3 linked regions of the Callithrix jacchus genome follow. The protein of the gene in region 2 purifies or fractionates together with the protein of the main gene of each other region. This does not show direct contact. Links are inferred from orthologs where the notes say so. Each region holds a gene or a part of one and is shown on either strand. Other genes may lie near its edges. The genes, in order: RAD1, HUS1B and RAD9A.

Evidence for each region.
Region 1: the proteins of HUS1B (region 2) and RAD1 purify together in Homo sapiens (co-immunoprecipitation; 3 studies listed by BioGRID and IntAct, counting the BioPlex papers as one, with this or other methods). This does not show direct contact. The link is inferred for Callithrix jacchus from reciprocal best matches to the Homo sapiens genes HUS1B and RAD1.
Region 3: the proteins of HUS1B (region 2) and RAD9A purify together in Homo sapiens (co-immunoprecipitation; 3 studies listed by BioGRID and IntAct, counting the BioPlex papers as one, with this or other methods). This does not show direct contact. The link is inferred for Callithrix jacchus from reciprocal best matches to the Homo sapiens genes HUS1B and RAD9A.

The regions. Positions count from the first base shown.
Region 1 is NC_133503.1:170,711,419-170,715,601, forward strand, and holds the start of RAD1 (cell cycle checkpoint protein RAD1), read left to right. Parts: upstream 1-1,354; 5' UTR 1,355-1,515; intron 1,516-1,649; exon of another isoform or gene 1,650-1,860; intron 1,861-1,993; 5' UTR 1,994-2,063; coding exon 2,064-2,261; intron 2,262-3,650; coding exon 3,651-3,759; intron 3,760-4,183. Other genes in the region: BRIX1 (ribosome biogenesis protein BRX1 homolog), read right to left, coding at 1,029-1,187. UniProt on the Homo sapiens protein: Component of the 9-1-1 cell-cycle checkpoint response complex that plays a major role in DNA repair. The 9-1-1 complex is recruited to DNA lesion upon damage by the RAD17-replication factor C (RFC) clamp loader complex.
Region 2 is NC_133505.1:31,058,749-31,062,863, forward strand, and holds HUS1B (checkpoint protein HUS1B), read left to right. Parts: upstream 1-1,258; 5' UTR 1,259-2,058; coding exon 2,059-2,895; 3' UTR 2,896-3,974; downstream 3,975-4,115.
Region 3 is NC_133511.1:124,471,368-124,474,968, forward strand, and holds part of RAD9A (cell cycle checkpoint control protein RAD9A), read left to right. Parts: intron 1-224; coding exon 225-353; intron 354-1,058; coding exon 1,059-1,173; intron 1,174-1,253; coding exon 1,254-1,353; intron 1,354-2,961; coding exon 2,962-3,071; intron 3,072-3,159; coding exon 3,160-3,269; intron 3,270-3,357; coding exon of another isoform or gene 3,358-3,422; coding exon 3,423-3,601. UniProt on the Homo sapiens protein: Component of the 9-1-1 cell-cycle checkpoint response complex that plays a major role in DNA repair. The 9-1-1 complex is recruited to DNA lesion upon damage by the RAD17-replication factor C (RFC) clamp loader complex.

The sequences.
Region 1 (4,183 bases), on a different chromosome or scaffold from region 2:
GCTGGGATTACAGGCACGCGCCACCGTGCCCAGCTAATTTTTTTGTATTTTTAGTAGAGACGGGGTTTCACCATGTTGACCAGGATGGTCTCGATCACTTGACCTCGTGATCCACCCGCCTCGGCCTCCCAAAGTGCTGGGATTACAGGCGTGAGCCACCGCGCCCGGCCCCCACACTTATCATTCCTCAGAGCTCACTCACCATCACACCACATGGAGTCATTTACTTATCACCTACTCCGTACTAGAGTGTACTATGCTAAGTGCAGAGGACAGAGAAATTAATGTCAAAGATAATCCTTGTCTCCACAGTATACTGTGTAGCTTAAGAATAGTTCTTAGTTGAATGAAAGTTAACTGAAACAACTTGCGTGCACTTCTTTCGAATAAAAACCACCAACTTCTCTGACTTAAGTTTCCTCCTGAACTCCAACATTTCAGGAGGAAGAGGTCACATTCTAGTCACCTTTGCAATCTTTGCCAAAGGAAGCTTAACTTGGAACAATGCGTGGCACATTCAATGTCTGTTCAATACAGGTAAAGCTCAAAGTATCTGGACTATCTTTCATTATCCCTTGAGTTAAAGACCTAGTTAACAACTCACAGTCCCAAGGCCAACAACTTTTTAAAGGCTCACCTAACAAGCTTCAGGATCCCTGCCTGACAGCAGCTGACTTCGGCCGTATATAGGAATACTAATCACTGGAAGAAATACTCAAAAGCGAGAAATAACCAAGGAAAAGCACCACCCTCCAAAAATAATTGAACAACTAGGAAGACAACGCTGGATCTGAGCACCCTGTCAGTCGCTTCCCCGTGGGCCGGCTAAAGGTTCTAAAACCCGCTGCCCCCAGGAGGGCGGCCAAGTGCACAAGAATTAGCTATAAACTCCGTGTCCAGTATGGCCGGGAGAACTGCTAAAACCGACCTACGGTCAACACCCGAGCTATTCTAAAATTAGTAGAGCTGTAGTCAGAACCCCCAAGAAAAGGCGCACAGAGCCGCGGCTGTTGGTGTAACCCTTCTACCTTGCAAACGGGGCCTGGGATCCGGTTTCTCTCTTCTTCCTCCACCTCCTCTGCAGTAGCTCGAGGCTTAGCTGGCGGTTCGGCATCTTTCTCGTTTCTTTTCGGTTTCTTCGCCTGAACTGCCAAGCCTCCACGCCGTTTCCTCTTGGTTGCCGCCATCTTGTCTCGCCGCCTGCGCTCTTTGGCCTTCTTTCCGGTGTTGCCGCTCGCACCCTTTTCCGATCTCTATGGTTCGGCGGCTCTAAGCGCTCGGTTCAGCGGTCGTCCTCCAGCTCGGTGGTGCCTGCCTGCTTCCGGTCTTGGAGGCGCTGCACGCTTGGCTCTCTAGGATTCGTTCCGCTCCATGGTGACGGTGGCCGAGGTGGAGGGCCGAGCTGAAAAGTGTCGGGACCCGCTTCCCTTCTTCCGCGGTTTTTCGGAGCCGCCTTGCTACTCCTCAGGGACTTTGCCGGGAAGGGCTCTCGGGCGTCCAGACCCCACTGCAAAGGTAGGGTGTCAGCACTCGAGGACTGAGAGTAGTAAGTGATGCTGTCCAGCGGGCGAGCTGGTGAATGGGCTTGTCTGGGACCCTTGGGGGATCTTCTGGGCACTCCGAGCCCGCCCCCCCCCCCCCCATCGCCTGTTGCGTTGGAGGCGAGGCTTGCGGCGCGGGCGACACAAAACCGACTCCGTAGGGATTCGTAGCTCCTGTTTGGCCGGGATAAGCTGGCCCCAAGCGGAGATACCGTGTCAGTTGCGTGTCTTCATTCTTCACAACTTTTCACGTTATTGTCCCCTTACGGAGATGAGGAAACCGTAGCTTAGAAAATTTTCTCCCAGAGTTACAAAGACAGTTAAGTGGCATCGGTGGGGTTCGGCCTGGTCAGCCAAGTTCAGCTGCCCAATCCCCTTCCATTTCTCAGCGCAGGTGGAGCTCGCCAGACCTCGCCAGCACTGATGGGAGTTTTATTGTCCAATCCCTTCAGGTATTTCGCGATCCGCGGGAGCAGGTGTTGGCCCCAGAAGCATCCCTCGGGGCCGAATGTGCAGCGGACAATGCCCCTTCTGACCCAACAGATCCAAGACGATGATGATCAGTACAGCCTCGTGGCCAGCCTTGACAACGTTAGGAATCTCTCCACTATCTTGAAAGCTATTCATTTCCGAGAACATGCCACATGTTTTGCAACTAAAAATGGAATCAAAGTAACTGTGGAAAATGCAAAGTGTGTGCAGGCAAATGCTTTTATTCAGGTATGGAAATATGTGCCTTTAAGCCTGTGCCATAGATATTCTAAATGCAGTTTAATGAAATCTGAAGGTTTTAGTAGACAATAAATGACTTTATAGTCAATAGTCCTGAATAAATAGTATATGAATAAATAGCTGTATAGTCTTAAGTCAGAGAACAAAACGCCTTTACTTGAGTTTTTTTTTCTCTCCTGGTAACAAATTTTTTTTCCCATCTTGTTTTACAGAGATAATGGTTAGTAATGACTAAAAAGCTAGACTATTAGCTAGGCACTCCTCTTAGTATTTAACTTACTTAATCTTAACAGTAGTCCTGTAAGGTAGGTTCTGTTATTATTTCCATTTTGTATATGTAGAAACGAGGCACAATTTAAGTGATTTGCCAGCAGCCCCACAGCTGTTAAGTGGCTGAATTGGGATAAGAACCCTGAACATTTGTTTCCAGAATATATGCTCTTTACCACTGCGATACTACCACCTTGCTATTACTAAAGAGTATTTTTTCCTTTACTGGTTGTAGTAGAATTTTTATTCTTCCAGAGTAATATTTGTATGGTTAAGATAGGATTGCAAATTCAACTAAGCGTTTTTTAACACCTAAGTGCACAGCATGACGTCAGGGATAGAAAGGTAAATAAGACATGGTTCTTGCCCTCATGCAGGACATGGTATAGTGGTTCACACCTGTATTCCCAGCTGCTCAGAAGGCTGAGGCAGAGATGGGAAGATTGCTCCAGCCTGGTCAACCATAGTGAGACCCCCATATCAATAAAAAATAATAATAAAAGTTGAAACTAGGCCGGACACGGTGGCTCACGCCTGTAATCCCAGCACTTTGGGAGGCCGAGGCGGGTGGATCACAAGGTCAAGAGATCGAGACTATCCTGGTCAACATGGTGAAACCCCGTCTCTACTAAAAATACAAAAAATTAGCTGGGCACGGTGGCGCGTGCCTGTAATCCCAGCTACTCAGGAGGCTGAGGCAGGAGAATTGCCTGAACCCAGGAGGCGGAGGTTGTGGTGAGGCGAGATGGCGCCATTGCACTCCAGCCTGGGTAACGAGCAAAACTCTGTCTCAAAAAAAAAAAAGTTGAAACTAATATTGTTCATGCGTTACCAAGTCGTTTGTGTATTTTCCAAGTGACCTAAGCAGTAGTGATAGGCACAAAAATGAGACAAGGGGTAGTCACAGAGGGATAGTTTTAGATCCAGGAATGGAGATAAGGATGCTTCACAAGGATGTCTCTAGGATGTTTTGATTGCTAATGAGAAATTATTCTCGTGGGATTAGCACAGTATTGTATTTTTTAAACATATAAAGTGAAATCTAGGACCTTATGTATTAGTTTTCATTCTTTTGTGTAACCATTTTCATTTTTACTTTTTTCATAGGCTGGAATATTTCAGGAGTTTAAAGTTCAGGAAGAATCTGTTACGTTTCGAATTAATTTAACTGTCCTTTTAGACTGTTTATCTATTTTTGGATCAAGTCCTATGCCAGGTAAACTATTATCAGTAGAAGGACATAAAAGTGTTATATACAATGGACAGAAAAATTCAGGAATTTATTTGGAATATAAACATTTGTTCAGAAAGTTATTGCCAATTCATTTTTCATTGGCCACAGTCATGGGTTCTAACTTTTCCCAATGTTAATTGCAAGTGTGTTTATAGTTCTTTCCTTTGTAAAAGTATTAACATTTGTCTTTTTTTAATTTACAAGGCTTTGAGGGAATTTAAATCTGAACTGGCCAAAAGAATGCTTTGGGCATGTCTTAAATATCTTTAACATTGTGAAACGTAATTGCTTCTTTTCCCTAACTTGTCCAGAATTACTCAGCTAGTTAGTGGCAGGGAAAAACAGAAGCCGGTTCTACTGACTCCTAGTTTGTACTGTGTTCAAAATTTGTTTCTTTCAAGCCATA
Region 2 (4,115 bases):
GGGAAAAAAAACCTAAAAGACTCTTAGGGGCACTAATAACAAACAATTTGGGAAACACTGCTCTAGAGGGTTCCTTTTTAGTTACAGATAAGACAAAGATGCTTGCTAATACCACTGTTACTCAGCAGTGTTTTGAAAATTACAGCAAACGCAATGCCAGTTAAATAAATGGCATAAACCTTGAAGAGTAAGAGCCATAATTACAGTACATGAAGATAGTAAGATTTTCTACATAAGAAACATAAAAGATCAATTGAAAAAGAATTTCAGGAGAGAGATTCAGTAACTTGACTGATTTCAAGATATTGTATATTATGTGAACTCCCCAAGAACAGAACTGGATAATTTATTGACAGTCATAAAAAAATGGTTTGAATAAGTGAGAGGATTTAATGTTATAGATATTTTAAATATCCTGAAATAATCTTGCAGTTGATACATTTCATACATTCATTTAACAAATGTGTTGAAAACCAGTTGCATGCCGGATACTGTTCTAAATGTTGGGTGTACAGCGGTGTATGGAACAGGTAAGAACTCCTTTCCTCTAACTTACATTATTATGGTTAGAGCTAGACCGTAAACAGAGAAGTGTAAGTATGTAATATGTGAGGGTGGTGACAATTCCCATCAAAATTCCAGGAAGATTATTTTTAGACTCTGACAAAATATTTTAAAGTTCATCTGGAGCAGTATCTGTGAGAGAATGAGAGAAGTTCTGATAGATTGTCCTATTCAATATTGAAATATAATATAGAAATTAAATCACTGGTACAGGTGCAAGATAGGGCAGTGGGAGAAAATATAGAGAGGGTCAGGAAACATTCAGGAGAAAAATGAGAATTTTTGTCTAAAATAAAATTGACATTTCAGATTAGTGGAAAAGTGAATTTCGTGAATTGTGTGTATCAGCTGGGTATTCAGTACTCCAAAAAAGATTTCAACTGAGTCAAACAACTAAGTTATAAAAACAGATAACATTTAAAGTACCAGAAACAGGACTTTGAAAGCATGACCCTAGAAGTAGCAGAGAAAAAGTCAATAGGTTTGACATAAAAAGATTCAATATTTTCCAAGGGCAAAGAGCACCAAAAACACTGTGAAAAGTCACATGATAAACTGAGGAAGATATTTACAGTACATGTAATGGACAGAGGGTTGATGTTCTTGCTAGAGATCTTAAAATAAAAACAAAATAAACAATAAAAAGATGCAAGGGGCATAAAATGGAATTCACACATAGTGCAAGTTGACATCTTTTTTTTTTTTTTTTTTTTTTGCCTGGTAGAGTGCTACAGATAAAACAGATTGCTAATACTCAATGTTGCTTGTGGTCTGGAGTGTTCATGCAGCTTTCTTCAGGCCAGTTTGAGAATATTCGGATTTTAAATGTGCATTCATTGACCAGCACTTCACCTCCGAATTTAATGCAAGAAAATTATTGGGTAAATAGGCAAAACTATTTTGTCCAAAAATGTTCATTTTGTTCATAATAGCAAAAAATGGGAAATCATCTAAATTGTCATTTGTGTTATAACTCTATACATTGGAAAACCGATCAGCCATGAAAATGATGTAAGTATGTCTCACCAACATGGAAAGATGCCTGTTACATATTTTATGTGTGAAGGTGAGGTTGTAAAATATGTGCCTAGTATGCTATAATTTCATAAGACATGTGGCACTGTATCTTCATATATGCTTATAGATGAAGATGGTATCAGTGTATATTAAAAGTGGTTATCTGAGTGATGATTTTGTCTTCATTAGTGTTTAGAATACTAAGAAGTTTCTGCAGTGGAATGCCTACTCTTTTAATAACCAGAATTGAAACAGGGAATTTTGTGTGAGGGCTCGAGGGAAGGTAAGAAAGGGCGTGGGGACGCCCTTCTGTGGCCCCAGGCCTAGGGCTGTGGAATCCAGAACAGAACCCGGAACCTGAGTGCCTGCCCTGCTGGGGGCCAGAGGGAGGGCAGCGCCGCGGACCAAAGTGGACCGGAAGGGAGCGTGACGTGTGGCATCCTCCTCAGAGGGCCCAGCGTTGCCTTTGCCGATATCATGAAGTTTCGCGCCAAGATCACAGGCAAGGACTCTCTAGACCTGTTCATCCAAGTCAGCAGCACAGTGGCGAGGCTGGTGAAGGTCTGCATGCTCCGCGTGTGCCCCAACGGGTTGTGTTTCGGCTCTGTGGGCTCAGGCGGCCTTCAGGAAGCCAGGCTGTGGTGCGAGGTGCAGCAGCGGGCCTTCCAGCAGTTTCTCATGGAAGGTGTCTCGGAAGGGCTGAATGAGATTCATCTGGAGCTGACGGCGGAGCACCTGTCCAGGGCGGCGAGAAGCGCGGTGGGTGCATCCTCACTGAAGCTGCAGCTCACCAACAAGCGCTGTCCCTGCCTCACGGTGATGGTGGAGCTGGCCTCACCCCTGGGCCGTGTTCGCAGCGTGATGCACGATCTGCCCGTGCGGGTGCTTCCCAGAAGAGTGTGGCGAGACTGCCTGCTGCCCAGCCTGCGCCCCTCGGACGTGAGCATCTACCTGCCGCGCTGGAGGACGCTGAGGAGCATCGTGGAGAGGCTGGTGAACGTGGGCAGTCACGTGCTGCTGGAAGCAAACCTCAGTGGCAGGATGACCCTGAGTATAGAGACGGAGGTGGTGTCAATTAAAAGTTATTTTAAAAATCTTGGAAACCCTCCAAAGTCGGCTGTTGATGTGCCTCAAAACAGAGACCTGGAGAGCATGGTGCAAGTGCGGGTAGATAATCGGAAGCTTCTGCAGTTTTTGGAGGGACAGCAAATAAATCCTATGACGGCTTTATGCAATATTTGGGACAATACTCTTCTTCATCTTGTTTTGGTTCAAGAAGATGTCTCTCTTCAGTATTTCATTCCTGCCTTGTAAAAATACAGCCAACTTAGGTTTTTTTTTTTTAATCTTAAGAACTTTTCAAAACCGAAACAGACCCTGAGTTAATTGGTTTGGAAGTTTGTACCTTCTCTGACTTAATGCTAGGCGTATATTTTGTTGAGCTCTTCCTCCTTTGCAAAATTTATATTAAAGCATTGATAAAACAGTTGGGTAGTTTACCTTTTTGTTTTTTGACTTTGTCAGTTTTTTTCATGCTTAAGATTCTAACAAGAAAATTATTCTTCAACTCTTTGTTGGGGGAGGAGGAAGAGGGTTATATAATGAAATAAATATATTTGAATACTGAAACAGTTGCATCAGTATTTTTATTATAAAATGCTATTGTGTAAAGCGGAACCGTTCTCCTTTTAAAGTATGTATAAACGTGTTCCTAGGGCTTTTCTTATGTAGAGAGCTAAATATAGCTGCAAGATATAAGGTATTTAACATTTGTGTGCATTACATATTGTTTGTTAAGCTGCGTTTTGTCATAGGATATATCAAAGACTATATCAATATACCTGGTTTTTAGATTTATTATCTACATAGTTTGAATTGCTAATTTACTAGGTTCATTTTTCACATGTATCATATTCACATTAGGAATCAAGGATATGTAGGCATATCTCAGAGATATTCCAAGTTTGGTTCCAGACCACTGAGGTAAAGCAAATATTACAATAAAGTCAGATGAGTTTTTTGGATTTTCAGTATATATAAAAGTTATATGTGCACTGTACTGTACTCTGTTGAGTGTACAATAGTACTATATCTAAAAAATGTACACATCTTAATTTTAAAATACTTGTTTGGTAAAAAATGCTACTCATCATCTGAGCCCTCAGCAAGTCATAATCTTTTTGCTGGTGACCTCCCTCTTGATAGCTGCTGACCAATTCCAGTGGTGGTTATTGAAGACTAGGGTAGCTGTGACAATTTCTTAAAATAAGATAGTGAACTTGCTGGATCAATTGACTTTCATGAAAGATTTCTCTGTCGCATGGGGTGCTTTGGGTATTTTATCCACAGCAGAACTTCTTTCAAAATAGTCAGTCCTCTCAAACCCTGCCACTGGTTTATCAACCAAGTTTATATACGGTACTAAATCTTTTGTTGTTATTTCAGCAATATTCACAACATCTTCACCAGGAGTAGATTCTATCTCAAAAAAATCATGTTCTTTGCTCATCTATAAGAAGCAACTCTCTGTTTTT
Region 3 (3,601 bases), on a different chromosome or scaffold from region 2:
TCCTGCGAGCGCCTGGGGGGAACTCGGGGGAAGGCCCGGGTGTGCGACCCCTCCATGCTGCCGCAGCGCCGAGGCCGACTCTGAAAGCTTCATGGGGAAGGGGGGTTTCAACAGGTGGTGGCGGAGCGGGAGGACGACAGGGCAAGTGTGGGCAGAGGCAGCCAGAGGGCTGGGTCTGTGGCTGCCCCCTGACCACGTCCCTCTCCCTGCTCTTCGTGGCGCAGCTCTCCCTCCGGACGGTGAACTCCTCCCGCTCTGCCTATGCCTGCTTCCTCTTTGCCCCACTCTTCTTCCAGCAGTACCAGGCCACCACCCCCGGTCAGGACCTGCTGCGCTGTAAGATCCTGATGAAGGTGAGGCCCTTCCCTCAGCAGTGGCACTGCCCCACCCCGGGAATCTCCACCAGCTGTGCTTCTCCGCTGGGGTACTCAGTAGATGCTAAGTGGGGAGAGAGAGACACGTGCAAGCCCAATCCATGCAAATCAGAGGGAGAGGCATGGTAAAAGCATCACAGTGGGGACCTGAGAGGGTGGTGACGCTCAAGTTCGTTAAGAAAGGTAAGCAGGTCGGCCTGGCGCGGTGGGTCACGCCTGTAATCCCAGCACTTTGGGAGGCCGAGGCAGGTGGTTCAGGAGATCGAGACTATCCTGGCCAACGTGGTGAAACCCTGTTTCTACAAAAATACAAAAATTTAGCTGGGCGTAGCGCGCACCTATAATCCCAGCTTCTCGGGAGGCTGAACCAGGAGAATTGCTTGAACCCAGGAGACGGAGGTTGCAGTGAGCCGAGATCACTCCATTGCAGTCCAGCCTAGCAACAGAGGGAGACTCCGTCTCAAAAAAAAAAAAAAAAAAAAAAAAAAGGCAAACAGGTCTTTCAGGGCATTCCAGGCATAGGGAAGAGCATGACTGAGGCCTAGAAGGGTGCCAGGGTCTCGCATGGTGTGGGAGCCCTTTCCCCAGTTTCATGCTGGGCCCATGATGGGCAAGGGCCTGCGTGGGACAGGAAAGCTGGTCGCAGAGATACGGTGCCAGGCTGAGGTGTCTTACCCTATGCAGTCCTTCCTGTCTGTCTTCCGCTCACTGGTGATGCTGGAGAAGACAGTGGAAAAATGCTGCATCTCCCTGAACGGCCAGAGCAGCCGCCTGGTGGTCCAGCTGCACTGCAAGTTCGGTGAGTGGGCAGTCGGCCGGCCAAGGGATGCCTCAGCCAGGAGGTTGGCGAGGCCCACTGAGACCCTGTCGCCCATCCAGGGGTGCGGAAGACTCACAACTTGTCCTTCCAGGATTGCGAGTCCCTGCAGGCCGTCTTCGACCCAGCCTTGTGCCCTCATGTGCTCCGCGCCCCAGCACGGTGAGCACAGCCTGCCCTCAGCTCCGCCCCAGGTCTGTCTCTTCCTTCTTTGGGGCCCCAAAGGTTGATTTCAGAAGGTGCCTCCTTCATTTTCCCTACAGAGTTTCTGTGAGCCTCAAAGACGTCCCACGGCCCTCTGCGCTCAGGTCCTTACCTGGCTCTTTAAAGGCTGAGGGCAACTGAAGGTTTGCCCCTGACCCCTTCTCTGGCCTGGGCATCCTTCTGGAGGTATTCCCCATTCAAGGGCAGCCTCTCTCCCTGACTGCCTAGGATCTAGCTTTGAGGAGTCCCCAAGGTCAGGGCAGGAGGCCGCCTGAACAATCGGCTGTGGGGTAGAGCGGTTCTGGGCAGTCCAAGCACTGGGGGCTCTCGGGGGCCAGGGAAACAGGAACTCAAGTGGAAGCAAAGGTCCCCGGAGAGGACCAGGTTGGAGAGGAGTGGGCTCTCCCCCTGCCTCACACTGGACACTGCTTGCATTCAAGTGGCCCAAGGTCCTGTTCATTTTTCAGGGTGACTGAAGGTCCCTTTGGGTCCTGACATGTTTCCCCAGGTTCTCTTGAGCCATCACTGCTCAGAGCTCTTTTGGGTAGTGAGAGAGGGATTTTTTTTTTTTTTTTAAATGAACAGTTGTCTTGTTTGGAGATGGAGTCTTGCTCTGTCGCCTGGGCTAGAGTATAGTGGTGTGATCTTGGCTCACTGCAACCTCTGCCTCCTGCCTCAGCCCCCCGAGTAACAGGGATTACAGGCGTGCACCACCATGCCCGGCTATTTCTTTTTTTTTTTTGGAGACTGAGTTTCACTCTTGCTCCCCAGACTGGAGGACAGTGGCAAGATCTTGGCTCACTGTAAACTCTGCCTCCCAGGTTCAAGTGATTCTCCTGTCAGCCTCCGGAGTAGCTGGGACTACAGGTGCCCACCACCACACCTGGCTAATTTTTCTAGTTTTAGTAGAAATAGGGTTTCACCACGTTGGCCACACTGGCCTTGAACCCCTGACCTCAGGTGAGCCGCCTGCCTTGGCCTCTCGAAGTGCTGGGATTACAGGCATGAACCACCATGACCGGCCCAGTTTTTGTATTTTTAGTAGAGAAGTTTTACCACGTTGGCCAAGCTGGTCTCGAACTCCTGACCTCAAGTGATCTACGGTTGGGGTCTCCCCAAATGCTGGGATTACAGGTGTGAGCCACCGTGCCTGGCCACTCTGTTTTTCTTTTTTTTCAATCCTCGTGAAGGGGCCTTGGGAATCTTTGCATCCTCCCAGTTTTAGCGTATGTGCTGCGGAAGTGAGTACTCTGTCTCATGAATAGTTTCAAGTATATGTAAAAGCAGAGCAGCTCCTGTCCCCACTGGACTTGAAGCAGATTCCAGATGTGATCCATCTGTAGAGCGGTGGGTATACTTAGAGGGTAAGCATTTCAGGCCTCTTTCTGAAGGCCAGCTTGGTAGGGCAGCGTGAGTGCCGAGTCCTGCCTCTGTGCCCTCTCCCTGCCGCCTTCTCTGGGCCTCATCCATGCGCTAGGCCTGTGCCCATCCATGTGGGTGCCTGTGTCACCCCTGCCTCAGGTGACAGGGCCAAGTATTTAGGGTGATGCTCTGCCCTGTTCACAGAGTCCTGGGGGAGGCTGTCCTGCCCTTTCCTCCTGCGCTGGCTGAAGTGACGCTGGGCATTGGCCGTGGCTGCAGGGTGATCCTGCGCAGCTACCATGAGGAGGACGCAGGTGAGGGAGCTGGACGTGGCGTGGGACAGAGCAGAGCTGCGGGTGGGAGAGAGGCGGGGCCCAGGTTCCTCCTGTTCTTCCCCAACAGATAGCACTGTCAGAGCCATGGTGACTGAGGTGTGCCTTGGGGAGGAGGACTTCCAGCAGCTGCAGGCCCAGGAGGGGGCGGCCATCACCTTCTGCCTCAAGGAATTCCGGGTGAGGATCCCCCCACGAATTCGCCTTGGGTCCTCCCTTCCTCGCCCAGCCCAGCCCAGGGCCTCACCTGCTACCTCTTCCCTCCCAGGGGCTCCTGAGTTTTGCAGAGTCAGCAAACTTGAATCTTTGCATTCACTTTGATGCTCCGGGCAGGTAATTTCCAGCCTCAGGACAGGGAAGGGCACTGGGATGCCAGGAGCTGAATGGGATGACCTAGCTTGGGGCTCCCCTCCCCGGCCCAGGCCTGCCATCTTCACCGTCAAGGACTCTTTGCTGGACGGCCACTTTGTCTTGGCCACACTCTCAGAGACAGACTCGTACTCCCAGGACCT